3 linked regions of the Diceros bicornis minor genome follow. The protein of the gene in region 3 binds, or shares a complex with, the protein of the main gene of each other region. Links are inferred from orthologs where the notes say so. Each region holds a gene or a part of one and is shown on either strand. Other genes may lie near its edges.

Region 1 (9,631 bases), on a different chromosome or scaffold from region 3:
GTGACGATAGAAAATGGGGTGAAAATGAAGAAAATGTAGATAAAATTTCTCTTGGTTGAAAAGACACAAGTCTTTAGACTGAAAAGTCCTATTGTAGTGCCGGCGGGAACAGTGAAAATACTCACATTCATCTCCATCCTGATAACTGTTCAGGATGCAAGGATAATGAGAAGATTCTAAATGCTTCTGGAAATGAACACACACATACACACAGGCGCACACGCTCACAGAGGCAAACCACAAAAGAAGAAGATCACTTTGGCTTCAGACTTCTTATCAGCTTGAAGATGATAAGCCATGGTTTTCAGCGTTCTGATGGCTACCAGTCAAATGTAACTGCAAAAAAAGATATTTTCAGACATGCAGATTCTTAGAAAAGTTTACCTCTCATTCGTTACTTTCTGAAAAAAAAAGTATTTGAGTACATATTTCAGGGAAATAAGGAGTCTTAGCAGAAGACAAGGTCTTCAAGAAACAGTGGAAATAACTAGAGGGTAATGAGAAGAAATCCTAGGAAAACACTAGCAGTAGGCCACACTGGGACAGAACATCTGAGGCTCTGTGGAGATTGCCTTCAAGAGTAAAGTGGATTCCATTCTTAAGAATAGGGAAGACTTTAATAAGCTTTGGCAATTTAAAACTCCAAGGAGGAAAAAAATCACAGAGAAAGTCATTGTGCCTCCTTGAAGTAAATTAAAATATACCCAAATTTTGGACAACTGACAGAATGTCAGAAGACAGAGTCTGTTTAATCTTGACCCTTGTTGCATTCTTCTTCAGGGGTGACAGGCTTAATGACATAGGATTATATTCCTTCTCTTCAGGTCCACGCATGCTATTTGGCTCAGCTGTGAGTAATTACTGTAAATTGTTTTCCAATTTTTAGAATCAACCAATAGAGAATATATAAAGAAACTTTAATTATAGTGTCAGGACAGAAGGCAGCAGAATGAAAACGGAATAAACCTTGAAAATGTAAAAGTAATAAGTTTGGAAATATCGTGTCCTAATCACACACATCTACCCCTCCTCTAGCTCCAAACCCCCTGAAAAGAAAGAAAAGATATAAAAAGAGGGGTTGTGGCCACTCCAGAAAAAAACGGAAAGAAGGAAGAAGGGAAGGAAGAAAAGAGAGAGAGAGAGAGAGAAAACAAAGGAAGGAGGGAAAGAAGGAAAAAAGGAAGGAAGGAAGGAGGGAAGGAGGGAGGAAAGGAAGGAAGAGAGGGAGGGAGAGAGGAAGAAAGGAAGGAAGGAAGAAGGAAAAAGAAAGAAAAGCAGGCCACCAGAAGTTTTGGAGAGCAGACTGGATCAGATATAGAGAAAATTAAAATGGGAGGAAACCACAGCCCAACACGCAAACAGAATATTTCTATGACAGAGGTAGAAGCAATTTGGGTCAAGGGCGCTCCGAGTCCAGTGTAAACACACATGGAGGCAGGAGGATGCCCAAGGGCACTCAGGGTGATTAACTGTGGGGCTACTCTGCTCCCTCCATCACCACTTTGCTAAGCGGCTCGTGGCCTTAGCCTCGTATCCAGGTGGAGCAGTGAATGTGAGCACTGGGGCTGAAGAGGCTGGGCTCCATTTAATCATTTAAATCTCCTAGAGAGGGTGCGACCACACACAGACATAAACTCCCAGGACCACCACCGGGCAGCCCGTCTCCCTCTTCCCCAGGATCATCAGTTGCAAGTTACAGATAACAGAAACAGCAGTGACAGGAGAGCAGAGAATCACATACGCCAAGTTAAGCACCCAGCCAAGGTGACATCAGTCTTCATTGAGTAACTATAACCTAAGGAAATAGAGTTCATAGGGCAAATAAAAGAAGAATTTGAAAGAAGTATCATTAATATCCTCACAGTAAATAAGAGAGGATATAATATCCATAACGTGAGAACAGCTGATGTCTTAGGTCAGGTTCCCCAGGGAACAGACTCTGAAACTGAGGTCTGCATGCAGGGTTGACCCCAGTGGCTCTGGAGTGCAGGTGTCTGTCTGCTGCCCGGACTTTGTTACCTCTGGTGTCGCAGCCTCCTGGAGCTGAGGCCATTTTCTCTGCCTCCAAGAGCTGTTCGTAGACTGGAGTCAAGCCAACATGAGCCTGATTCTAAGACAGGAAAAGAGAATAGATTCTTCAAGCTATAGATCAAGGAAGTTGAGGCTGATTGGAGTAGAATTCTGAAGCAAATTACTAAATGCATTACTAAATGCACAACGTCCATTTGAAGTCCAATAAGTTTTTTTTAATGAAGTAGAAATCAATATTTGTGCGCACTTAGAAAGAGTTGATCAACATGAGTCATCATTGATGAAAAATATAACAGGCCGTTTTTGCAGTTTGGGGTTTCATGGTGATATTCTGATAAACTTCCAGTTACCCCTCCTATCTTGGAGTTCTGCATACACAAGGAAGAATAAAGATATGGGAAACACAGGATCAAGGTACTAAAATATGGGAAATTTCCCCAAACACACCTCTCCAGCTGTCAACAATGCAAAGCCGTCTTGTAAGCACGGTTGGAGAGAGCAGGTTAGATTTGAGGGTCCACTGAGTTTTGTTCTCTAGCCAACTATCCCTACCCTACTTCCTCTTCTCCATCCTGAAACTGAGATGGGTGGTCCTGCAGAGGAGATCCTGAGTCCACTTCCCTACCACCCGAGATGTAGATGAGGCTGGCCCATCTGCAGAGTCTAAGCCCTGCCCAGGTGGACCCACTGCAAGTGCTACTGAAGGGCTGCACTTGGATTCCGGTCCTTACCCTAAAATGGCTGTCCTCTCTACTGCAGTGTAACTTAACAATTGAATGGTCCAGGTTTGACCAGAAGCTTAAATAACATCAGAGCGATGATACAGGCTCTCTCCCTCCCCTATGGGGAGAAACTGATATATGGGAAAAGGGAGGGTGTTGCTCTTTTTTTGGACTCTGTTAACATGACTTGTTGATCAGAGGACTGTTATGGATAATAATAGCTAAGCTAACGGTTATTGAGTGCTTCTATGTGCCAGGCCCTTTTCTAAGAACTTTGCATGTATTAACTCATTTAATCCTCACTCAACCCTCCCAGGTAGGTGTGGTTTTAATCCCACGAGTCAAGTCACTTGCATAGGGTAATGCACCTAGTAAATGCCAATGCTGGGATTTATACTCAACAACCAAGTCTAGAGATGGAGACTTTGTACATGACACCACCACTCTACTGTGCCCACTGCAGACCACCAGCTAAGCCTAGGGTAGAGGTGGATTTCTCTAAGGCATTTGACATCTCTAAGATATCCTTATGAATATAATAGAAAAATAAGGCTTGACAATTGCATAGTTAAGAGGGTTATTAGTAACTGAATGAACCAGTGAACCCAAAGTATGCTGAGCCCCACCACGGCAGAGGGAGCCCCTTAGTGGGGTGTCATCCAGGACTCTAGTGTTCTAATCTACTCTGTGGACATGGGGAGACACTGGATGCCTGAATCAAATCCAAAGAGACTTAGAGAAGGTGGACCCAGGGCTTCTGTCCCAAAGACGAACCCCATAAGCATGGATATGGCCTAACAGTAACATAGCAAGGAATTTCCAGTTTTCCCCTTGCACTGGGATCAACAGTGAGATGTATTTGAAAAATAACTGACAAGAGCTCAGGCTGTATTAATTGTTTTTAATGGTTAACTAGTCAATTAATTTTATGACAACAAATTTTTTTTTAAAGGGCAGAGACAGGTGTCCTTCAAGGGGAAAATGGCGAAGATTAGAGAGATTTGAAACCATCTCACATGAAGAGGAGTTAGAGTAACTGAGAATGTTTAATCTTCAGACGAGAATGTTTAGGTAGAATGCAATGGCTGTCTTCAAAGACCTGAGAGGTTATCTCTTGGAGGAAGGATGTGACTTACTCCATGTTGACTGCAGAGGGCAGAGCTGGGACCAAAGGTTACAGGGAGGTGGATTTGTCTAATTGCTGTTCAAGGAGAGGACACAGAGTTCCCTCTTTACTCTTGGGACAGTTATGACAGCTAACATTTACTGAGTGCTCATGATGTCTGCACTAATGTTAAGGTCTTTGTATGCCTTAGCTAAAACGTTGTGGGTCAAATTCATACTTATCATTACAAGTATCTCATAGCATCCATTTACTGACTGCTTATTAAATTACCTCATTTGATAGTTGCCCTGTTGTCTGTTATTATTATATCATTACAGTTTTACAGATGAGGAAATAGAGAAAAGTTACTTTCCTGGAATCATCCTGCTTTAACTTATCAGCTTATAACGATCTGGACCTAAGTATTCCTGCTACTAATACTGCCTCTGGAAGTTATGCATATAATAAGGGGTCAGATTGGGGCTGTTCATTAGAAATATAATGTGAGCCACTAATGAGATTACTAAAGTAATCTTACTTTTTCTAGTAGCCACATTAAAAATGAAAAAGAAATCAGTGAACTCATTTTAAATTGTATATATATATAATATATATATTTATATCTTAACCCAATACATTAACCCAATTGACTCATTACGTCTAAGCTACTATCATTTCTTGAAATGATGTAATCAACATTAAAATTAACACGCTCTTACATCATTTTCCACATTAAGCCCCGTGTCTGTTTTACACTTACAGAACATCTCAGGACTAGCCACGTTTCAAGCGTTCAATAGCTGCCTGGAGCTCTTGGCTGCTAATGGACAGCCAGAACAGGGTTAAAATTGAAATCTCCTCTGGGGGGTGTTGAAACTTAAAGAGAAGCTTTGCCTTCCACCTTAGATTCGAATGCTTCCCTGCTCCCAGCTTACCTTCTTTCCCAGTCTGAGGGAAATGCATAGCGACTGCCTTTGCCTTTTCTGGGAGAGCCAATGTAGATATTTATGAATTTGGAGAGGACAGGTGTTTCTCCTGCAACCTTCCAACAACTGTCATTTCCCTCCTAGCAGCTAGGCCGGGAGTTAGCGTGCTTGATTTCTGCTTGGAAAGTGACTGAAGTAGGTTGCATGAATTAAGTGATGTACCCTAAATACCAAGTTGGGGGTAGAACATCTTGTTTTATGTAAAGTTATGTAAAATTAGGGAGTCCTTGGCTTAATTGATTAGAAATAAATCCTGTAGTCGGTAAATGCATAAGTGACTGTGAGCGGAGGAAGCATTCTGTTGTCATTTTTGCCACGCTGTCCAAAGGTAGAGGCACAGCGTCAAAACAAATACACAGCCTCTTAAAGTAGCCTTGAAACAGCCCACGGAAGTTTCCCCCCAAAATTCCAAACCAGTTGCCGAAAATGAAAGCATCTAAAAAGATGCCTCGCGCTCTCGGCCTCCCGGAGGTGGCGCTATGAGGGTGACGGAGTTAATTAGTGCCTGCAAAACGCTCGTGTGAGCTCATCTGAGAAGTCATGATCTGCACACATATTATTTATAGCAGATCTGAGGCGTGCACGGTGTTTGACATTTTCTTCTTTTTCAGTAGGGGGACTTCAAAAAGTCGTGGGTACCCCCCAGGCAAAGTACAGTGGGCAGGCACCAGGGCGCGGGCGGGAGGCGAACGCTCAACCACGCGTGTCCGGGCGCAGGTGCCGGGGGCGGTGGCGGCCACTCCGCAGCGCCGGCTCGGGAGGAGAGTTCGCGGCTGATCTCGGGATGGCTTGCAGATGCAAAATGTGTCTCTGGCCAGCAGGAGGAAGGAAGAGGAAGTGAAAGCAGCGGCAGCCGGCGGCGCAGCAGCCGGCCGACCCGGAGTGTAAGTGCGTGTGTTCGGGCGAGCGAGAGCGGGCGAAGATGGGCACGGGATAGAGGCAGAGCCACCCACACCGCCGCGGCCCCGAGCTAGGCGACAGAATCTCTGGCCCCCTTTCAAAGGTCGCTGGTCGTCAGAGCCCTGATCGCTGGGAACCCTCGCCGCCGCCGCCGCCGCCGTCCTGAGACCCCGGGCAGGTTCGTAAAGTTTCCTGGGCTGGCGCCGCGCCCCGACTCGCTGACCTCAGCGCGGCCGGGGAGGAAGCTGGGGTTGGGGCAAGGAGGAGGCGTCCTGCTCTGGGGGACGCTGGGCGCCGTGGAGACACTTTTGTTTCCTCCCTGGGGGCGCCGCGGCTCGGGCGGAGGTGGCCGCGGCGCCCTGCGGGATGAAGGCTGCGGGCGCACCAGGGCGCTCCGCAGTTGGGGGAAGTCTGGGCAGAGGGGGGCGGCTGGAGTGGGAGTAGAAGAGGAGGGAGGGGGCGCTGGGGATGGAGCGCGGGGCCCGGGAAGCCGCGGAGATGTTTCGGCCAAGGCCGGCTGGAGGGGGCTGCCGGAGGGCTGCGCAGTCAGCGCTGGGGGACTGTGGACAGAGAGAGTGTGGGATTGCGGGCTTGCAGAACTGAGAGGCTGCGCTGGAGAAAGGATTGGCGGCTCGGACTCCCGGCTTTTCTCTGGCACTCGCAGATGGGAGGGAATCCCCCGGCGACCGCGCTCCTTGGAGGGGGCGATGATGGGCTAGAGGGATGGAGGGCCCGGAGGGACGGAATGGGATGGTTAGGGCAGCTGGGAGTCCCGGGGGCCACTGTTAGTAAATACCCGCCTCCCGGGGACATTTCAGGGTCCCCGCCGGGACCGGGAAAGACGGCAGGGGCTTCGATGGGAGATCCTGGCATCGAGGAGGGGGCGCACTGGGCGCGCCTTCAGAGAAGGGGGGCAGCGGAGCTCTGGGGGCCCTAGAATCCGAGCGGAGAGGGGCGGCCGAGATCGATAGAGTTGCTTTGAGGAAGAGGAAATACAGAACTCAGCCGGCCCGGGGGTGCGCGCGTGTGTTTGGGGTTGGGAAGTCCGCGTTGTGTCGCGGGCGCGCGCGAGGGCGGCGAGAGTGAGCGTGTGTGTGTGTGTGTGTGTGTGTGTGTGTGTGTATGTATGGGTGATCGCAAGGGTCTCCGGAGCTGGGGACTCCCGCCGAGTGACCCTCTCCCGCCTGGGGGCAGTTTGAAGTTGGCAGTTCAGGGCAGGGGTGGTTGGCGGCTGGACCTGTGTTGACCTGAAGCCTCAGGACTTGGACCCCTGGAGGGACTCGGCCTCTGGACAGCTCCTGTGACTCACCGAGCATATTTTGTGATGCCCTGTGCCCCAGACCATGGGCCTGCTAACACTGCTGGCCATAAATGATGCGAATCTAATTCGTTTTGTTTAAGATTTCAGAGAACCTAAGACAAGGTTTCTGCCTCCAGAGGCAGAGGCCGCGGGCTTCCCGTTTGGCCCTGCCAGTGACTTGCGGGTGGGGTGGGTGGGGCTGTGGAAGAATTTTTGAGGTTTTTTTTGGTCCATAAAATAAAAGTAATTAATGACCTAGACCTGTATATCAACTCTTTGAGGGTAACTTTGGGAACTAGAGGGCTCTAACCCCTCTCAGGTTTACTTTTACATGGAAAAGGCTGGAAGCAGCTGTTATTAAGGGCCTCCTCTGGTCATGGTTTTTCGTGTTATCTCACCTCCATACCTGCTTTCCAAGGTCGTTTCAAGGATCATTGTCCCCCAGTTTTCAAAACTGGGAACTATAAGTTAGAAGGCCAGATGTCCTGCTGTCACATAGCAGACTTTTTCTTATAGCTGACCTTCTGAACCTCTGCTCTTTTCTGTGGTACATTTCCTCTCTCTTGAGGGCTGTGGTTAAATGTGCATGTTGCCTTCTTTTCTACTACATTTATTACTCATTTTTTTTTTTAATTAGATGGACTGGTTGTCTTCTTGGGAAATTGTGAGGGAATGACCTGGAATGTTGGAACTCTGCAGGGCAGATGATGTCAGGAGGGAAGGGAACTGGCTCAGAAGCTTGGTAGGTGTCAGGGAGGGGCACGCTGGGAGGCAGGCCCAGACCTGGGTCTGATGGAACTCAGGACTTGGAGCAGTCATTGGGCTATAGAACCCGTGGTCCTATTGATGGCCATATCCACACCACACCCCTCCAACCTTCCCTTGTCTCATCTCTCTGCCCTTCTTAACTGCAGCCACTCTGACTACCTTACATTTTTCTTTTTCACCAAGTTCTCTCCCCAGGGCCTTTGCACATGTTATTCCTTTTGCACAAGGAGATTATCCCCACATGTCCAGACGGCTCACACCCTTGCTTCCTTCAGGTCTCTGTTCAGTTGTCTTCTTACAGAGGGCCTTCCCTGATTACCTCGTATAAATTTTCCGTCTTAGCACTAATTAACCCCTGGCATTATATATTCGTTTATTTGATTATTCTCTGTCTCCCCCGTTAGAATGGAAGTTCCATGAGGGCAGGAACCTTGTCTTGTTTAGAGGTCCAGAATCTAAACTGATTCCCAGCATAGCAGGTGCTCAATAAATACTTGTTGACTGACTGAAGAAGAGGTGCTTATTATGGGAGAGGCTCACCAAGGAAATATACCAGGAAAATGTTGCAGCATCAGCAGCAATTAAGAACCCCAGGTAACGGGCTTTTACTTTTTCTCCTCTGTCTTCTCCCCCATGCCCAGCTGCCCATCTTGCAGACCCTTTTCTGCCTTCAGGAGACTCTTCCTGTAGAAGTTCAGACCGAAGAAAGGAACAGAGAAGTGATTCCTTGGGAGAGTGGAGAACCATTACACTTTGTTAATTACGCATACCCTCTCCAGATCTGGTGTTTGTTTCATCACTCTTCTTAGAGAAAGTCTTTTCTCTAAGCGCGTGTTGCTTTAGCCAAAAAAATGCTCCCCTAGGAAGAAGGGCATATTGTGAGGGGAGTGAAACCAGAGACTTTCATGTACCCTACCCTGCTCTCCCAGCAGATGGAAGTGAAGGCAGAGGAGGAGAGATTGTAAGGGAGGAAGAAGCTGGGTGGCAGAGGCAGGGGAAAAAGAAGATAAGAAATGCCTAGGAGAAGACAAATGAAAGAGAGAAAACAGGTGAGGGGTTTCTACAGTGCTGCTCAATCAAAAGCGTTTATTAAATTATGGTATTGAGATAGGACAAAGCTGAGTGTTTTAAAGTAATTTACTCCCCTATGGGTGTTTGGTGTGAATGGGTGGGGAGAGGTGGAGGAAGGGAGTGCTTTGAAGCCCTTGCAGAGAGGATGTGGCTGGGGGTGTGCCAAGGGGCTCCGCTGAGCGCACACTTAGCTTACATTATCATCTTTCTTAACTCTAAAGGTTTAGAGGTAATCATTCCTATGGAGGACATTTCCTGTCCGGATCTAAGACAGTGGGTGCCCTTAAGGTTTGTAACTGAAGCCTGCAACCACTTTTTAATGCCTGAAACCATCCAAGTGGATAGTTTGGTTTATAAGACATTCATTCTGTTGAATTTGGAAAAGGTGGGGGATTGCTAAACCCTCTCTGCATCACAAAGCCTCAAGTGTTTGTTGCTAATTACGAAACTCCAGTTCTGCTTCCTTCTAGTCAACTAGTCTAGTGTTTTTGAAGCTTAGGGTTGCAATCCAGGAGCGGGTCATATCAATTTATTGAGTCCAGACCAGCAGTTTAAAACATGAAACAGAAAAGAGTACAATGAGAATAGAGTGTTTTACAAAACAGATACCGAATCTTAATGCCAAATGTATTGCTTAATGTGGGTCGTGATTAAAAAAAAAATCTGTTTTGATCATTCTGGAGGCCCTAGGAATCTACGTTTTTAACCAATTTACCAGAGATTCTGATGAAAGTGGTTCATAGGGCCG
Region 2 (9,410 bases), on a different chromosome or scaffold from region 3:
AATGGCAAGTACAGTCATCACTGGGAAGGTAGGGAATGAGGAGAGAGATGGTGGCCTCTAACAACTATTCCCAGGCTAGTTTCACAAACAGAATCATCTCCCGTTCCAGAATCAGTTGTAGAATCTTACTGCCAATGTTCATTCATTTAACATCTACTGAGTACCTGTTCTTAACGACCCAGCTCCTACTCTCAAAGAGCTCCGTTTTTAGGGGAAATATGTATATATGAAGAGTAATTAGTACTTGTTGACAATGTCTTGAGAGGAATTGGTACAGGGGCAGGTGAGGGAGCACAGAGGAGGGATAAGTAACTGCCTAAAGCAGAGAGGCTGTGCAGAGGCATATGGATCGGATGGGGTGAGACGGAGGGGTTCTGGAATTAGACTGCCTAGATTCACATCCTGGCTCTGCTGTATGACTCGGGGCAAGCTGAGTTGCTCCTAGAACACACCAGGGCTGAAGGAGAAATTTCCCAGAGGAGATTATGCCAGATGACCTGAGTGCCACCCAATTTGGAGAAGCTCAAAGATACAAAGGTGTCCTGGAAGCAAACAGGACAGCTATTGTTCTGCCTGCCTGGGAGGAGGCACCCTCCTGGAGGATGGGGCATGCCCTTGGCCCTCCTAATCTTATCCAGTTGGTTCCTCAGAGGGAATCAGGAACAATGAGCAGAGGACACGACTCTAGAACTTTGTTTCATTTGCCACTTCCCCTGTTCACTCTTTCTGCTATCTCCTGTTTTGCCTATCACTTTCCCATGTCACAAAATGGGACATCGGGCTTGTCTTTGGGGGTAGCAACGAAGGGGAGACTCCTACTTCTACTCTTCAGGCAGGCTGAGAGAAGAGACCAGGGAATCAAGAGGAGCCCGAAGAAGGCTGAGTCTTTGGAGCCACATCAGAGACAAAGGGAAACTCAGATGTAGAGTTAACTTGAAGAGGTTAGGACTGGGACTGAGCAGAAGACCCTTGTGGGCCACTGGTGAACTCCAGGAGCTGGAGCTCGGTGAGGGCTGGGCTGGGGAAACCCGTTTGGAAGACACCAAGGCAGGAGTGAGTTCAGTTCAGGGCCTTTCTCCTCCTCCTTGTCTCCACCCTGCTCTTTTAGGGGAACTGAGTCAGCTTTAGCATTTTCACCTTGAGAAAGAGGGAAGAATTGGTGAGGGGGAAAAACCTGAGAACGTCATGGGTGTATGAAGAAATTAACTAATGTTTATGTGTTGTAGTCTGGGCAACCTGCTAGCCACTCCATTTATTATCTCATTTAATCCTCATGATCCCACAGAGCACAAAGTACTGTCATTTCTGTTTTAAAATGAAACTAAATGGCTCTGTTATATGCTCTTGTAGCAGTCTGTACTTTTGTATGATTACCTGTTTAAGAGCTATTTCCAGGGGCTGGCCCCACGGTGTAGCGGTTAAGATTGCGCGTTCCGCTTCAGCGGCCTGGGTTCACAGGTTCGGATCCCACTCACCAGCCTCGCCGTGGCGGCAACCCACATATAAAGTAGAGGAAGTTGGCACAGATGTTAGCTCAGAGCTAATCTTCCTCAAGCAAAAAAGGAGGAAGACTGGCAACAGATGTTAGCTCAGAGCTAATCTTCCTCAGCAAAAAAAAAAACAAAAAAAAAGATTTATCTCCCTTGCTATTTACATCTGGATAGAGACTTGTCTATGTTTTCACCACTGCATTAATGGCATATGACACTGTACCTGGCCCAGAGAAGGTTTTCACTAAGTATATGTTCAAGGAATGAATGAGAGAAGTCATGTAACTTGTAATTTGTCAAAGACCACAGTGTAAGTGGTACAACCAGGATTTGAATCCTGGACTGTTTGGCTCCAGAAACTGTCTGTGGTATCTCTATTCTACCCCCACCAAGTGCTTCATATGTTGTCTCACTTATAAATGTTCTGGCTCGGTGTCCTTGTCTCTCTGCTGCTTGTGAACACAAATGTACACCATGTACCAAGAACTCACCTATGCAGGGAAAGCAAGTGAGAGAGTAGGAAGAAGAAAAGCCCTCTTCCTACCCTCTTCAGCTCAGCATCCTCCTCCTCCAAGAAGCCTTTGCAGACAGACCCACCAGTCCTCCTGACTCTCTCTCCTCTGGCCTTACTGGCCCTTCCTACATCTGTGCCACAAAAGTGACTCCAAGTCACCTGGCCTCTGGTGGTTCTACACATGAGTGCTTTATTAATGCAATTTAATTCCACAGATGTATACTGAAGGCAACTGTGTGCTCAGGCCTGCTTGTGCCAGGACCAGTGGGTGGACACAGAGATGAATCAGACACAACCTCAAAGGACTTACCGTCAGTGGGGGAGACAGACATTAGGCACAGATACAATTAACTAGAACACAAAGCAAGATGACCTAAATGGTATGAAAGAACGATGAGCAGTGTGCTACCTGCTAAAACCTTAACTACTTAATTATTATTCTGAAGAATGTATCATAGAAGGTTAGAGCTCAAAGCTATCATCTGGTTCAACTCCTTGTTTTCCACTGGAGGAGTCTGAGACCCAGAGAAGGGTGAGGCCTAGCCTAAAGTCTCACTAGCCAGTCTGGCTGAGCCAAGACTAGACTTCAGATCTTTTGAAGCCCAGCCCAGGGCTATTTCCCCCTCCGGTAGCTTCACATGCAGAAGTCCCATATCCCACTAGACCATGAGATCCTCAAGGCCAAGTCAGGATCTCCCACTAAGCAAACCGAACCAGGGCCACAACCAGGGCTCAGGAAATGCAGTCTGACCCCAGGCTGCCAATCCAGGTTTTTTGTCTACTGTACCTAATGTGTATCCTACTATGCCCCTAAAATTGATTTTAAAATATTTTTTGCAGGAAATTTTTTTTTTAATGAACTTTTTATCTAGAACACTAGTATATAAATCACATAAAAGCAAACCAACTCTGGCTGAAGGGGAAGAAGGCCACAGCGCCGCTATTTTCCTGTCCTCAAGTCCTGGGAAGGGAGCTCTAGGAACACAGCTCAAAAACCTTTGTTCTGAGACACAATTTTTAACGGCTTCATAGAAGCCGTAGTAGCATGTGGTCCTTCTCTAAACCATGTCTTTTACGGAAACTCACAATTCTTTCTTCATCATCAAATGCCGAGCACTAGCCATGTACTCCCAGTAGGGTATGAAGGGAAATGAGGTTTTCCCCTTGCCTTGCTTGTTTTCCTCTTCTCCATAGGGTGGAGTTTGTCCCAAGTGGCAAGGGAGGAAAGAGACCCAAACTCTGCCTCGGGGGGTGGGGGGTCGGGGGGGGGGGTGGTCAGATGAAGTCTTTCCAGAAGGATCATGGAGGATGAATTCATCTACTGAGCTATTTACCAGCCTGAATCTGATAGAAGCTCTAACTTTGCTGTCCCATACCATACCCACCAGCCACATGTACTATTGAGCAATTGAAATGTCTAGCCAAAATTCAGACGTACTTTAAGTGTAGAACACACACCAGATTTCAAAGACTTAGTACACAAAAAGAATGTAAAATGTCTAATTCATTTTTATAATCAATAATTTTTATATTGATTACATGTTGAATGATAATATTTTGGATATGTTGTGCTAAGTAAAATATATTATTAAAATTAATTTTACCTGTTTCTTTTTACTTTTTAAAAAATGTCACCAGTAGAAAATGTGAAGTTACATACGTGGCTCACATTATATATTTGTTGGACAGCACTGGGAGAGACTATCAAGGGCATGGCAGAGGTAGTGTGTGTTGTTGGAAGGAGGGATCGTGGCAGCCAGGCAGGGAGTAGTCCATTAGGGCCAGATTGTGAAAGACTGAGTCGATTTCGTGTGGCAGTCAATACAGGAAAGAAGTCAGGCAGAGAGAATGAAATCCGCAAAGACCCAAAGATGTGGGCAGGCACCTTGGGTTTAGGGAACTCATTCTTACAATTTTGTTTTGTTTTGTTTTTCTTTAAGGTATTTGTTGAGTATTTACTTTGAGCCAGGCATTGACAGCAGGTCTTTCACATCCATTCTCATGTTATCTGCACAACTATAAGATTAAGGAGAGGTTATTCTATTTTACCAAAGACAGAACTGAGGCTCAAAAGGGTTAAACTACTTATTCTCAGAGGTGTTCCTCCTCTTTATTTGGAAAGCCTCTTGGAGACAGGGAGCCTGTCTTTAAACGCTTCTCCGTTTTCCTCCACTGCACTTAGCACGGAGCCCTGCACGTGATTGGCGCTTAGAAAGTTTGTGTTGAACCGACGTCTCAAGTCAGAGCTCCACGCGCAAGTCCTGGGAGCAGAAGCACCAGAGGGCGCCCACGAGTCCGCCCAACCGCCGGTCCCCAGGGCCCCGGGACGATCTCAGGCCTGGGTGCGGCCCTTCAGTCTCAAGCAGTTGCGCGCCCCGGCGAGAAGAGGAGGCAAGGGGAGCCCCACGTTCTCCGTCCGCCCCGGCCCCTCCCCAGAGCCCAAGCGCGCGGAGCCGCCGGGTGCGGAACGACGACACGACATCCTGTTTTTTGGGGCCCGCGGCTCCGCCTGCGCCTCTGCTGATCTCGTCTTCCCCCGGGTGCTGACGCCAGCTCCCCTTCCCCCAGTCTCTGCACCCTCCCCAGGGGTCTGGGGCCTTCCCACTGCTGAATCACCACCACCCTGCATTCCCCCGGGGCTCGGGGCAGGGGTGGGGACTGCCCCAGCCTGATCCATTCTGGCCAGCCCCCAGCCTTGGCCATCGCTCTATCCCTGGGCTTAACTGAAGGCACTAGGCCTAGGGGCGCCTGTTCTCAGCATCTTCCCGCGGGGGTTAGTGGGCGCGAGATACGGGGAGGGGGACAAAAGCCTAGCGCCTCTACTGGGGTGGGGGTGACCAGGAGGAGAGAAGGAGGCTTGACCTCATGGGCCTCACAGGCAGAAGGCTGGGGTGGGGAGCCCGGCACTGGGCGGTGGGCGAGGCTGGTGGGGGGAGACCGGGGTGGGGGGACCGGCCCGCGGACTTCCTGGTCGCGCCCCGCCCCGGCCCGCCCCCGTGCCCCGCCCCGGCCGCCGGCCCGCCCCCCCCACTTCCTCCGGCCTCCCGCTCTCACTTCCTTCTCGAGCGCCGAGCCGCTGCCGCCGCCCCCAGCTCCCCCGCGGCGGGGAGGGCACCAGGTGAGGCCCGGCGCGGGCCGGCGGGCTGGGGGGTCCGGGGGAGGGGAGCCCGGCCGGCCCGGGACTGGGCGCGGGCGCGGACCCGGGAAGTTTGCTGGCGGGAGGCCGCGGGCGGGAGCGTCTCGGCTCCCTCCAAGTTGGGCGGGCGCGGCCGGCCGGGCGGGGCGGGGACCCGGCCACTGAGAGCGGGGCGGCTCGGTGAGGGTGGGTTCCTGTACCCAGGGCGGCTGTACCGGCTCCCGGGAGCCGCGAGGGACCCCTGAGGTCTGAGGGCTTCCCAGTCCGAGAGAAAAGCCTCTGAAGGAGAAGAGCTCAGAGCTGGCAGATGGGCCTCCGAGGTGGGGTGCCCTCGGAAGTTGGGGAGGGTGTACCGAAGTGTGTGAGAGGAGGGGGCCTCTGGGCCGGAGAAGGCGCCCCTCTGCTCTGGCAGTTGTGACACTTGTGGGGTTGAGAGGGAGCGGCGTCTGTAGCCTCTGAAGCCCTGGACCTCGGAGAAAGCTTCTTCCCTGGAAGACCGACCCGCGCTAGCAGGCTGCAGCGGAGGGTCCTCTGCGCTCAGGAGGGCGGGGGGCGCCCTGCTGACCCTAGTCTTTCTCTCTGTATGTCTGTTTTTCTGAGGCCCTACCTCTCCATCCCTGGAACCAAGCTACAGGTATTTAGTGAGCAAACATCCGCTGTGCCTAGCTGACGGGTGCCTGGCCTTGCTTTTTTAGGGGTAAACTGAGGAGGGAAAGGGCCCGGTCTTGTCCTGTGACTAGAAGTAGAAGGACTCTCATTCAGAGGTACTGATAGTCCCTGACAAGATGGCATCGCTGAGAGCAGGACTATTTTCAGGAGATGGAGAGAACAGGGCTTCTGGGAGGCAGCTGAGGCCCTGGCCTTGGGAAATGATTGGGAGCCGTCTCCTAGTCTTTTATGCCCCGCTCCCTTGTTAGTCCCTGAATTCTATACATTCTCATTCTGTCTGACTCCATTCCTTCTTCAGACTCTACCCACAAACCCTCCGTCTCCCTCTTTCTCACATCTTCTTCGGTTTTTTTCCCCCAAACACACCGTCATACCTGGGCCCTGACCTCTCACCTACCCTGCCCCTCTGTCCATCTCTGTCCCCTGCAGCTGCCCCCTCCCTTCCTTGCCCAGCTTCTGGCTCCCACACACATATCCACCCTCTTGCTTCTTCCATCTCCCCTCATTCCTCTCTGTCTCCTTCTCTTTCAGCCACTTATCTCCAGCTTGGGGGTCAGGATCTGCTGTAGAAGACTTGGTGAGTTTGAGAGCCCTTTCAAACCTCCCTAGCTCAGAGAGACAGGCTGCAACTTCCCAGTGATAGAGATGATTAAAGGGCTGGAAAACCTCTCTCTATGTGTATGCCTGTGCAAGTGTCTGTGTCTACATCTTTATCTCTTGGAGACAAAATAACTGCCCTCAGCCTTGAGAGGGCTCAGAGCAGGGGAAGCCAGCAGAATGAAGGGAACCTGCAGTGGGTGAGGTTGTGGTTAGGCAGGAGGAAGCAGTCTGTAGCAGTCAGGGTAGAGTGACACAGGAATAAGACTGGTGAGAGAGGCCGTGGGAAATCAAAATCACCCAGCCCCTGGGGTGCTTGATCAAGAGGCCGGGCCTGGAGGCTGGGGGACAGCCTGAATGTGCCTGACTCCAGTGCTTACTGGTTCCAGCACTGTCTGGTGGGGAGAATGGGACTAGGTCAGCTAGATGTGATGGAAGGAAGTGGGGGGAGCAAAGGCAGGATTCTGGAGGGAAGACTATAGCTGGCCTAACTTCAGTTTTAACTGTTTTAGTTCCAATTCAGGAAAAGAAGAGGGGTGGGAGTCAAAGGCGTCTGACCCTTCTTCCTGGCTGCCTTCCGGGGCCTGCCCAGGCTGGGTACCCACGTGTCCTGGGCTGCATCATGGCCTTGGTGACCAGGAAGCCATCTGGAGTCTGCTGACCCCTCTGCCTCAGGCATCCTTAATATTCCCCCTCGTACCTAGGACCATACTCCCTCTCTTACAAGAATTTCTCCTGAGTCTAACTTCAGCCCACACTGACTCTGTAAGCTCTTGTTGTCCCCATTCTAGAGCTCCTTCCTCAAGCCTTTGGGATGCATGCTGAGAGGTCCTGCTTCTCTCCACCTTCTTCAGTCTACTCTTCATTTCTCTCCATTAGAAAAAAAGAGAAGTGGAGGGGAGCAAGTGCTACTTTTTTGGGATTCCCAAGCACAGCTAGATTTAAGGGCTATCCACGATCCCCATTCTATCCTCTTTCCTCTCACAGTTGTCCCTCTCCCATGAATTGTCCCTTCTTCCAGTCCTGTCCTTCCACCCACCTGTCTCTCCTACTCTTGTTTCTGGAAGGTGTAGGGGGCTGGGCCCCAGGAGGAAATCCCAGGGACCTGCAAAAAATCCCAGCTCAAGAAAGGATGTGCATGCAAGGCACTTTCCCAGCATTAAGGCTCAGTAAAAAACCACCCAGGAGTCCTGGCTCCCCGCCTGCCAAACCAGTACTTATTTTAGGATTCTACATAACTGAGCAGTCCACAGGGCTCTGAGGGTGAACATAGGATGGATGAGACGGGTTCTCCCAGGCAAGATCTGGCCCCACTGGAGGTTTGAGCTAATTGCAAGAAAGTTATTGCTGGGGACCGGCCCGGTGGCACAAGCAGATAAGTGTGCGTGCACTCTGCTGCGGCAGCCCGGGGTTCATGGGTTCGGATCCCGGGCGTGCACCGACACACCACTTGTCACGCCATGCTGTGGTGGCGTCCCATATAAAGTAGAGGAAGATGGGCACGGATGTTAGCTCAGGGCCAATCTTCCTTGGCAAAAAAAAAAAAAAAAAAGGATCAGCATCGGATGTTAGCTCAGGGCTGATCTCCCTCACAAAAAAAAACAAAACAAAACAAAAAAGTCATTGCTGGAAAACTATGACCAGGGTGGGAGGGATCTAAATGGGAAAATATCATGTGGTGGGGGTAGGGTGGGCTGCAACCTAGGAGACTACCCGTTGAGCTCTTGACTAATGAAATACGGTCAAGGTCATGGCATGAAAAGAAGTGGCTGATATAAGATTGTCACAGATCCTGGCTGGGAATCTAGGATGTGGAGAGTTGTCTCTGGATGTTATGTCAGGTGAGGTGGCTGGTGTGAACTTCTCGGGGGTCATGAGCAGGAAGATATGAGAGGTTGTGGCTAGAGTCAGACAGTTGGGAAGATATTAGAATGGTGGTAGCTGGGGAACTGGGCAGGAAATGGGGGCCCGGCCCCACACTGAAGACCCCTCCCTCCATACGCAGTGTAGACCCATTAATGGTGAGGCTTGTAGGGGTCTATGAGTAGGGAAAGCAAAGACAAAACCTGGGCTACCTCCTTAGAACAGCTCGGTTTTCCTGTCCAGGGTCCAGCTTCCTCTTTTGTCCTCATCTCATGGGGGGAGGGTATCTCCCCAGGAGCTAGAGGCTAGAGGAGGAGCTCCTCAGCTGGGACAGGGCCGGTGTGGCTGGCTGTCCGGTAGTGGTAGTTCTAAATCATAGACGCTGCAGTATGGGCTAGGCACGAGAGCCTGGGAACTTAAAAGCAAAAAGGGCTCAGATGTCAACCTGACTCCTTTGGCCCATTTCCTGAAGGGATAAACCATGGTAAAGTCATCCTGAATGAGGTCAGAGAGATGATGGGCCCATTCCTAGGCCAGAGTAACAATCCTCACCTCCTCTTCTTTGTGGAAGTGACAGCAGGCTGGAGGTTAGGAGACCCAGGTCTTTGTCCTGGATTTGCTCCCAACTCTCTGTATAACCCTGATCAACTTGGTGTCTCGTGGCTCAGCTTCAGCATTAAGGAGTTGCTCATCAATACCTCCACAGAGCAGAGAGAAGACTGAGAGCTCTGACTCTCCTTCCCCCAAGAGGCTCCTCAGAGCATGGCCCCCACTCTGGGCCCTCCTGTCTCAGGCCAGCCTTGATCTGACAGGTGTGAGTAGTTTCTAAGTATCTGCCCAGGGACAGGAACTGTGGCCCCTTTCTCCAAAGCACAAGGATTGTTACAGGTTGAGAGATGAGAAGCGGACAGCGAGTGTTAGGGATTTTGCAAGACAGGGACAGCAAGATGGGGGAGCACCGTGTGCCCTGCTCCAGCTCTGCCCCACTGACAGTGGAAAATAGACGCCGGAGTTTCCTCCCTCATGTTTTTTTCCCTTGTGGAAACCCCCGCAGGCCTGGGGCAGGGCTGAAGGGCCAGGGCGGCCCTGGGTCTCTCTGAGGGTATTTTCAGGTGGGCGAGGCAGGACTGGGAGGATGGCA
Region 3 (9,735 bases):
CAAGTATTTCTGGAAAGCCCCAGGGTGTGTATCTGAGTACTCTCACCAATCTGGACATTTTCCTTTCTTTTCTTCTGCTCTGACCCTTGCCAGGTGGTATCACCAGAATCCACTTGGCTTTGCAAACCTTTCAACAGATGCTGTCACATCTTCTTCTAGCACCATGATCTCAGCCAGGACCCGTTGTCATTTCCATCAGGAGACCCATGAGAATGCTTCCCTCCACTCTTTTTCCTCCCAGCTTTATTGAGATATAATTAACACTTAACACTGCGTAAGTTTAAGGTTACAACATGTTGATTTGATACACTTGTATATTGCAAAATGGTTACCACTGTAGCTATAGCTGACACCTTCATCACATCACATAATTACCATGTGCTTCTCTTCATAGCCCACATGAAAACATTTAAGATCCCTCTTAGCAACTTTCGAGTATCTAATACACTATTGTTAACTATAATCACCGTGCTGTACTTTAGAGCCTCAGAATTTATTCATCTGATAACTGGAAGTTTGTACCCTTTGACCAACATCTCCTCCTTTCCCCCACCCCCAGACCCTGGCAACCACCATTTTTCTCTCTGTTTCTATGACTTTGGTTTTTTTAGATTCCACCTATAAGTAGATCATACAGTATTTGTATGTGTTTCTTTCATACAGAAAGACAAATCTTTCTCTGACTTATTTCACTTATGTTGTCACAAATGGCAGGATTTCCTTCTTTTTCATGGCTGAATAATATTCCACGGTATATATACACACCACAACTTCTTTATCCATTCGTCCACACGTATGTTGTTCCCACATCTTGGATATTGTGATTAATGTTGCAAGGAATATGCCTCCCTCCCCTCTTTAGAAGTCTACTTGTTCAATGGGCACCAGAGCAGTTGCTTGTGTGCTAATGTCTTAGAGGTCTCGTTATTTTATTTATAGTTCCTATCATTCAGAATAGAGCCTGGAGGGGCTAGGCCAGTGGACAGTTCCCCACACTCACTGTTCTCAGAAGTGCCCGGCCTCTGATTTCTAAGGCAACTTTTACTATTTAGAGTCCTTCTCTTCCAATGACTTCTCTTCCACACCCTTATGCAACAGACTTCTGGTGGGAAAGTCCTACACGCGTGCCGCCATTGTTACCCTGTCTCTTCTTCTGGAGGCCGCCCCAGCCTTCCCACCCACTTCAAAAGGTGGAAGTCATGGTTCAGAGCAGGTGTTGGCAAACTGTGGCCCAAAGGCCAAATCCCACCTCCCACCTGTTTTGGTACAGCCTGCAAGTTAAGAATGTTTTTTACATTTTTAAATGATTGCAAAAAATCAAAAGAATAATATATCATGACATATGAAAATTACATGAAGTTCAAATTTCATGGCTACAAATAAAGTTTTATTGGAACACAGCCATACCCTTGTTTAGTATTGACTATGGATGCTTTCCTGCTACAATTGCAGAGTTGAGTGGTTGCAAGAGAGACCATATGGCCTGCAAAGTCTGAAATATATATATACGGGCCCTTTACAGTGAAAGTTCACTGACCCTTGGTTTAGACCATGGACACTGAAGCCAGTCTGCCCAGGGTTTGAATTTAGTTCTGCCACTAACTATGTGGACAACATCTTAACATGTTCTGAGCCACAATTTCCACATTTGTAAGGTGGGGACAACAATAGTTCAATTTACCTCATTAGGTTGTGTGGGAATTAAACAAGTTGATTTGAATAGTGCCAGGCACAGTTAGTTATTTATTGTTACACTACAGCTGGTGACCATGGAAAAATCTGCCTGGTATTAAATAAAAATTCTAGATCAAATGTGTGTTTCTTAACTGACCTCAAAGTAATAGGAAGAAAAATCTGCTGACTATGAGTTATCTAAACCATATAGTAATAGTGTCACTGTTACGAAGCGGCTGCAGAATGAAACTTCACTCCTGTCCCAAATAAGGATCAAATTTAGGCATTTAATTTCCTGCTTTTCTACATATTCCAGGGCTCTTTAACAGAAGCTGCAGCTTCTCTCAGAGAAGCAATCAAGACGGCCAGATTTCGCAAAATAAACCTGGTAATCAACAGAAGAAGTGATGCCCTTGCCAGTTGTCAACACATCCATCTATTCTCTGAGGCAATGTAAGGGACAGTCACAATATTCACGTCAAACTAGCCTCCACATTCGTGTATGCTCATGTCTTCCTCCAAGGCCTTCACGCAGAACACGTGAATGCTGGTGCAGGCAGAAGCGTGTGTGTATTTGTGTGGCTGTTGGAGTCTCTGGCTGTGGAATATGCTTACTATTTCTTCTGAAAAGATATCAGAGGAAAAAGAAAAGGATGTTTCTGGGAATCATGCTGTTATTCCACCTACCCATCTGGTTGACTCTTTAATTTTAAGCCTCATTTTAATAAAAGACTTTGAATAGCTCTGCTTTTATGATTTAAATGGACTTTTAAATTGGGATTTAACCATCTGATATTACAAAGCGGGTGGACTTCAGTCTTCAGAAGAAAAAGCATAAACATACTGAAAGCTGTAATTAAAATTTTCCCTTTTCCTCCAACCCTCTTATCGCAATTATTGTTAGACTTGAAACATCCAGTGCCCAAATTCAAACCTCAAGTTCTGCAAAAAGTCTGCAATGCAAGGCGGGGTGAAGCAGCTGAAATCATTTTGGGAGAAACCCAGTTCCACTGGATGAGCATTAACACTCTGATGTGTATTAATTTAAACTAGACCAGTGGTTAGAGAACACTGGTCATCCAACTTCCTTGAACGCAGACGACCGCAGTGACTTTGTGAAGCCCCTGTTCCACAAGGCCAAACACTTCAGCTCCTCATGGTCCACAAGCAGGAGTTGCTGAGGAAGGTGTGAAGATGTGAGTCCTAAAGAAATATCAAAGGGAAACTTCAGTACAGAACAACTGGGATACAAAGCGTGAAGACCAAGTAGATATCACAGATGACCAAGAACATGGCAACTCTATTTACTAATTGCTCAAGCCCCAAATCTTAGGGTCATCCTTGACCTATCTTGTGTCTCATACCCAAGGGCAAGATGAAAGGTTTGTGGGGCCTGAAGTGTATGTCGTGAGTCTCTTTAAAAAAAAAAAAAAAAAAAACAAAGGCGTCCGGCAAGTTGGCATAGTGGTTAAGTTCGTGCATTCAGCTTCAGCAGCCTGGGATCTGCTGGTTCGGATCCCGGGCGCAGACCTACTCACTGCTCATCAAGCCATGCTGAAGCAGCATCCCACACAGAAGAACCTAGAAGGACCTACAACTAGGATATACAACTGCACTGGGACTTTGGTGAGAAAAAAGAAAAAGAGAAAGATTGGCAACAGATGTTAGCTCAGGGCCAATCTTCCTCAAAAAAAAAAAAAAAAACAAGCATAGTTTTTGGGCGAAAGTTTCCAAAAACATATGTTGATAAAAGTACACTGTGAGGTCTAGGACATCAGTAAATTCCCTTCTGCCTACACTGCCCTCCTGTTGGTTCTACCTTCAGTGTATGTCAAGAACACAACCTCTCTTCCAACTCCACCCTACCATCCTGGACCTGACTATCTTCATTTCCTGCCTGAACTACCGAAATAGCATTCCATCCATCTGAGATTCTTGTGTCTTCCCTTGTGTCTTTACAGTCTATTCATCACACAGCAGGCAAATGGGATCATGTCCTTGGTTGGCTCAAAACCCTGCAAACTTCTCTTGTCATGGTCATATACAAAGTCCTCAAATGCTTTATCCGGCCACCCTGTGCCTTCTGGACCAAGTTTCCTCCCACGCTCTTCCCCTTACTCATCTCTCACCACCCAGGATTCCTTGCTGTTTTTGGAACCTGCCAAAAACATGCCTCCAGGCTTTTGCATTTGCTGTTCCTGATGTCCAGAATACTTTCCCCTGAAATCCTCACTTCCTTCAGGTCTGTCCTTCAATGCTACTTTATCAGAGGCGACCTCCCAGACCACTCAGTAAACAGCAGCATCCCTGGGGCCTAGCCTCCTTGCTTTGGATTTTTCTTTCCTGGCTCCTCCTCATTTGGCATACATTTACTTGGCATTGTTTTCCTCTCCTCTTGTAGACTGGAAGCTTCACAAGGGTAGAAGCTGCTGTGCCCTCATCTGTAGAACAAAGCCTGACACCTACTAGGCACTTAATATTTGTGGAAAGAAGAAGAAATTACCTAACCTGGGAAATTAGGTTAATCACAATGTCACTGGCAGAAGAGAAATTATTTTTGGGGAGATGGAATTCCTTCTGCATGTTAAGTCTAAAGCGACAGATTTCTTAAATTATCATTGCACTTGTTAATAAATGCCTATTTGCTGATGGAGAAGAAAGTAAGCCCTAGGAGTTACCCACTGCGAACAAGACGTTTTTTTTGTTTTGTTTTTTTAATTTCACATCTGGATTTGCAAAAAGTATCAAAGTTAAAATGCACTAATTTTCCAATCAAGTTTCACTCTATTTTATACCTGTTTATTTTCCTTTCCTTTTATGTTCCAAATAGGCAGAAAACCTTCAGAGACTGCAAGGACCAAACAATTTATTTCAAGAGGCATTTTCTCAGACGGTGAACATTACTCTGAGGTTTTACTACTCTGAGGTTTTACTTCTCTGTGTGAGGTAGCAATCCCTCCATCTCACCCCGGACTCAGAGCCAATTTTCATTCTTGAGGCTTCTCCAGGAAAAAGTGAGTTCCGGGAGGGGACTTCTAGAGAGCGCCCACAGGAGCCCAGGGCAGTTCAAACGATCAGTCTCTGCGTTGGGCTCTTTGTCGAAACAATACAGTCAATGAACGAGAAAAGACGTGGATGTGCCAGGTCCCCTTCTCCGCAGGGATGCTGGTCTGTTGGAAGCGGGACGTCTTGGGGCGGACTTTTCCCTTGAGCATGAAGGTTTGAATTGCTTCAGCCAGGGACTCCTCCGGGTGTTTTGGGGATACAGGATTTCCAAGTTAGAATAATTTTTTCCCACAGAGGCTCTGCTAGGAAAGTATTTGATACTTCTGAGGAGGCCGTCTCCCCTGCATCAGTTCTCTATTTACCAGAAGACAAATGCGCCTGCTTTGAAGGCGATAAACGGTGGCCACAGGAGATCATGTCTGCCCCGGAGTCCGGCTTCCGGCTCTCACGGTGTCAGTTAAAGCTCTAGAGAGTGAACGCAGGAGTCAACTGCTCATTCATTCAGCAAATATTTACGGAGCGCCCGCTGAGTGCCAGGCACTGGGGGTGCCCCGGGGGCGAGAAGCAACTCATCAACTCATACTAGTTCCCACAGGAGCTGCGGCGCGCGCAGTGGGAGCCGACCCCGCACCCCGCGCCCACCCGCTGCCGGGCCGCCCAGCCTGGGTGTGCCCAGCGCCTCCGGCGCAGCCCTCGGGCCGCCCGCGGGGGGAACCCGCCCCACGGGATCCAGTCTCGGGGGTTTAATCCGGGTGGGGAAAAAGCAAAACACAAGGAAAAAACCGTACCCCAGTCTGCACTGGGAAGCTGCTCCTGGGAAGCGCGCAAGGCGGGGCCCGCGCCCGCCCGGGCCGGCGAGAGCGCGGAGCGCCGGAGCGGGCGGGAGGCCGGGCGCCCGCGGGTCGGGCGCGGAGGCGGCCCCGGCGGGCGGAGGGCGCGGCCGGCGGGAGGGGCCGGGGCGGCGCCGGGAGGGGCGCGCACAGCGGCGCGGCCGCCCGGCCCAGCAGGTGACCGCGGGCCGAGGCCGGGGCCGGAGCGGATCCCGTGCGGACGCGGGCGGCGCGGCGGGGCGCCGGCTCGCGGGGTCGGGCGAAGTTTGCCGGAACATGGCGGAGGAGCCCGGGGCGCGCAGGAGCGCGGCGCGGCGGCGGCCGGCGCCCCAGGAGCTGTAGCCGCTGCAGCCGCCGCCGCCGCGGGCTGAGGTGGCCGCCATGGCCCGCTGGATCCCGACCAAGAGGCAGAAGTACGGGGTTGGTGAGTGCTCGCCCCACCCCGCCCCCGACCCGGCCGCCGGGAACTTCGCGGGAGCCGCCCTGCCTTGCGCAAAGTTGGGCGGCGGACGCCGGGCCACTCGGCGCGCGCGCTGCCCGAGGCGGGGGTTCGGCTCCCGCTGCAGCAGTTCTGGGGGCGGGTGGGAGTCGGAGTCCTTTCCTGGAGCCCCGTGGGGGAAGTCATTCTGAGTTTGGGAAATCCGAGTGGCTAGAAGTGCAGCTGGGCTCCGGGACAGGTAATCCTCCCGAATCCAAAGCTCCAGCACTTTGCATAGGAGAAACGTCAAAAGCGACGGTGCTCGCCTCTTATGCATTTGGGGCACCCAACTCTGGTGCTCGCCTCCCTCCTCCCCATCCGTATGGTTTCATTCAGTAGTTTGTAGCCAGCCCAGGTCGGAGGAATGCCAGTGGTGTTCGCTGCCCCAGTGCTTTCTGCTTTCCCTCTTCTTAGGTTGTCTCTGAAGCCCCGAGTGAGGAGTTGGGGGTAGAAAGCCGCCCTCCGCCCCCTCGTTTCCTCCCAGGGCCTGGGATCCAGATAACAGTTGTAAACTGAATGGGAGACTAAAGTTGTGGTGGGGAGGTGATGGAAGAGACAGGAAGTGTGTGGCATGGGAACGAGGGTGGCTGCCCCTGGGGCCGATGGGGCAGACGCTCATCTCCTAACGGAGCGTATATGGAGAGGGGTGAGGACTGCCTTCTGAATCCCGAGTTTCGTCGTGGGATAAGACGAGGGCATTTTATTAAGAACACTGTGACAGATCCCGCGCCCGGCACTTCGCATTCGTAACAGCGGTGCTAGAGAGTCCCTGTCGTGCGGAGGGATTACAGTGCTGTTGGTTTGGCCCCGGAACGGTGGCTGTGTGGGGTTTTGACCCAGGTGAAAAGCCGTGGTCCTTCTTCCTACCAAGGAGTGAGGTTGCTGAAATGTGGGAACGCTGCTGTTCGCGGGGCGATTACAGTGGCAGTTCGACTTCGGAGCGATTCCCTGGTGTAAACGCAGTTGTGTGTGTTGAGAATTTTATCACTTCCTCTTAGGTTCATTCATTTGGCCTGTTTGTAACTTAATCTTTCACTTCCCTCCCTGCCCCGCCCCCATTTCTCCTCACCTCTCTGGTTACTAGGGAGGGAACCGTCCCAGCACCTGTTCTGAGCTTTCTGACGGCGAGGTCAGTTTCACGGATACTCAACGTCCCTGGTGCTCTTCAACTCTGTAGCCCCGAGTCAGTTAAAGAAACAAACTCTCTCATATTTACTATATTACTCTTAGATTGAGATCCTTTATATATATGTTTGTGTGTATGTAATTAGATATATAATTGCTTGTTTTCCCTCTATTCCAAAAACTTTTTTCCCCTTAAATTTCTGTTAGAATCCTTGCACTCTGGTATGGCTACAACTCAGAAACAGGTAGGTGGTGTTTCTCCTGCCCCAGACCACCCCGTCATGATTTGGTCATGACGCTTCAGACGGGGACTCCTACTCAGGTGCCAGTCAGTAAGTAGCCAGTGGTTTTGGAAGTGAAATGCTCTAAAATAGATGGACTCAATTTCTTTATTTTTGAATGTTATCTAGTATTTACTAAATTAAAGCGTGTTTAGCAACGCCTAATCATTAATTACTACTTTAAGAAAGTTATCAATTCTGATTTTGTTTAAGAGGATAAAAGCTATTTCCAAAACCAGTATGACTTCAGTGTAGGTGATGCAAACAGATCTCCCAAATGTGGTTTTTATTGCCATAGTCATAGAAGCAAGTATGATATGTTCTCTTTTTGATTTTTTTTTTTTTCCTGTTCTGGAGTCAGGTTACCATGTTTTTTATCTTCCATCAAGAAAAGTATTTGAATTGCATTTCCAGGGCATAGGTGCTAGCAAAATTGCCCCAGGATATAATTTTGGACACTTGTTTCATTAGACACAATATATTCTGCTTAATCTGGATTTGACAGAAGGACCACTGTTAGCACAGATTAGCTGATGAGATATATCTCCATTGTTTATTGCTAAAACACATTGTTGTTCATATCACCTCCCTGATTTGAAGCCTTCCTTGGCCTGCAGGGTAAGATGTAACTGAGCCCAACTTTCAAGATTCCCATAATCTGGTTCAAAGTGTCCTCACCAACCAACCTTATCTCCTGGCTTCTTTCATTTACCGCCCCCCCCCGCAGATACTGCTCTTCTAGCTCTTGTGCAATAGGCCACAGGCCTGGAGAGTCCCTCCTCTGGGACTTTGCTCCCTTGTTCTTGCTCCCTGTCAGAGTGCCCGCCCACCTCTGCATCCCACAGTCCAGCTCGGGACAGTCCTCGGGGCTCAGATCCACTGCCAGTGCCTCCTTCAGGTTTGGTGTTCACCAGACCTCCCCAGGCATTCCCGCCTCTTCCTCACAATGCCTGCAGTGTGCCTACCTTATTTCATTGCTTCTCCTCGTATCCTCGGGTTCAGCTTATGGTTTTGTATCCCTGTCACTCACCGGGTGTAGCAGGTATAGAGCCTGCCTTCAGTAGTCATTGCATGTCCTTGGAGTTGGGGTAGCATTCTAGCTCTGACCTAATTTCTGTGACGATTTAATGCAGGGTTATTTTGTTTGTTTGTTTTTTTGAGGAAGATTGGTCCTGAGCTAACATCTGTTGCTAATCGTCCTCTTTTTTTTTTTTTTTTTTCTCCCCAAAGCCCCAGTACACAGTTGTGTATCATAGTTGTAGAGTTGTAGCTCTTCTGCGTGGGACACCGCCTCAGCACGGCTGCCTCAGCGGTGCATAGGTCCACGCCCATGATCCCAGCCAGCGAACTCCGGGCCTCTGAAGCCGAGCGCGCCTACTTAAGCTAGCCACTGGGCCTGCGCCCATTTAATGCAGTTTTTTCCTTGTTAGATTTTAGTGTCTCATTCACTCCAGTATGCGTTTTATTTGGTTCCGTTAGGTGGACGAAGTGAGAGCCTTCAGTCTGTCTTTATCTTTGCGAGTAAAAAACTGAAATGTGCTGCTGAGAAAACAAGGAGACAGAACAGTCTGCCTCATTTAAATATGATTGGGAAAATTGGCTTGTTGGACTTTTGGGGGGATTGTTGTCGCTTCAGAATGTCTGCTGGACAGATTTTTGCTTCTGGGTGAAGGAAACCATGTGATGGCCATTTTTTTTAATGACTCACAGCTACTCTGTATGAGGGTAACGCTTTGATCTTGATTTGAACTGTGCACAGTGAAGCTGGTAAGTGTGCTGTCTTGTTTGATCTTGGTGCCACTGCTGGCTGTCCCCATATAGCGTAGATTGTCCTACAGGGACTGAAATGCAATCTCGGCTGGGCTTTCTTCCTTCTTAAACAGCACTGTTGGCTCCATCTCTAGCGTTAGGTGAGTCTGAATGACCTGTAGGAATGAGTGCTCCTCCCCACAGCCATAGAAAAATGTTTTTCTTTCTTTCTTCCTTTTTCTTTCTTATTTTCTTTTCCTTTATTCTTTCTTCCTCTTTTTCTGTTTGAGGATATGAGTATAAACATTTTAATTTAGATTTTAAACAAACATTACTGATAAATATCCAGATTAGTCTTCTGATTATTGAAACATTTATTTTAAGTCTGCTCCCAAACAAGCTATGTATAATCAAGAACAGACCCAGATTATGTTGATGATGGATTATTTGCAAAATAATTCATTATTGTTTGTTGGGATTTGTGATATGTATATTTATAATGTAATAAAAGGTAGTTGGGGGAATATTTGCTTTCACTGTTAGCTTTTCAGCTGTTCAGCTGTGCTAGGCCCAGTTAGTCTAAAAGCATTTA

What was found.
Region 1: the proteins of DOCK5 (region 3) and ELMO1 are in contact, whole or in part, in a cryo-EM structure (PDB 8JHK), measured with the Homo sapiens proteins. The link is inferred for Diceros bicornis minor from reciprocal best matches to the Homo sapiens genes DOCK5 and ELMO1. Residues at the interface, in NP_079216.4 of Homo sapiens: Met1, Ala2, Arg3, Trp4, Val14, Ala15, Ile16, Tyr17, Asn18, Ser22, Gln23, Gln30, Ile31, Gly32, Asp33, Thr34, Glu39, Tyr41, Gly43, Trp44, Arg46, Tyr48, Lys56, Ile58, Pro60, Glu61, Thr62, Tyr63, His65, Leu66; in NP_001193409.1 of Homo sapiens: Ile7, Val8, Lys9, Ala11, Tyr18, Pro19, Leu21, Glu23, Glu36, Asp39, Gly40, Ser42, Asn71, Gly72, Gln392, Asp393, Leu400, Glu401, Lys468, Arg531, Glu535, Leu536, Lys539, Leu547, Gln550, Gln551, Asn554, Arg555, Asn582, Thr688.
Region 2: the proteins of DOCK5 (region 3) and RHOG are in contact, whole or in part, in a cryo-EM structure (PDB 8XM7), measured with the Homo sapiens proteins. The link is inferred for Diceros bicornis minor from reciprocal best matches to the Homo sapiens genes DOCK5 and RHOG. Residues at the interface, in NP_079216.4 of Homo sapiens: Val232, Phe345, Asn393, His394, Lys395, Gly396, Trp400; in NP_001656.2 of Homo sapiens: Ala121, Pro123, Leu126, Arg127, Arg128, Lys130.

Annotation. Positions count from the first base shown.
Region 1 is NC_080742.1:60,601,906-60,611,536, reverse strand, and holds the start of ELMO1 (engulfment and cell motility protein 1), read left to right. Parts: upstream 1-5,497; 5' UTR 5,498-5,728; exon of another isoform or gene 5,729-5,922; intron 5,923-9,631. UniProt on the Homo sapiens protein: Involved in cytoskeletal rearrangements required for phagocytosis of apoptotic cells and cell motility. Acts in association with DOCK1 and CRK. Was initially proposed to be required in complex with DOCK1 to activate Rac Rho small GTPases.
Region 2 is NC_080746.1:58,925,264-58,934,673, reverse strand, and holds the start of RHOG (rho-related GTP-binding protein RhoG), read left to right. Parts: upstream 1-5,006; 5' UTR 5,007-5,122; intron 5,123-6,340; 5' UTR 6,341-6,386; intron 6,387-9,410.
Region 3 is NC_080750.1:68,672,237-68,681,971, reverse strand, and holds the start of DOCK5 (dedicator of cytokinesis protein 5), read left to right. Parts: upstream 1-5,716; 5' UTR 5,717-5,891; coding exon 5,892-5,934; intron 5,935-9,735. UniProt on the Homo sapiens protein: Guanine nucleotide exchange factor (GEF) for Rho and Rac. GEF proteins activate small GTPases by exchanging bound GDP for free GTP. Along with DOCK1, mediates CRK/CRKL regulation of epithelial and endothelial cell spreading and migration on type IV collagen.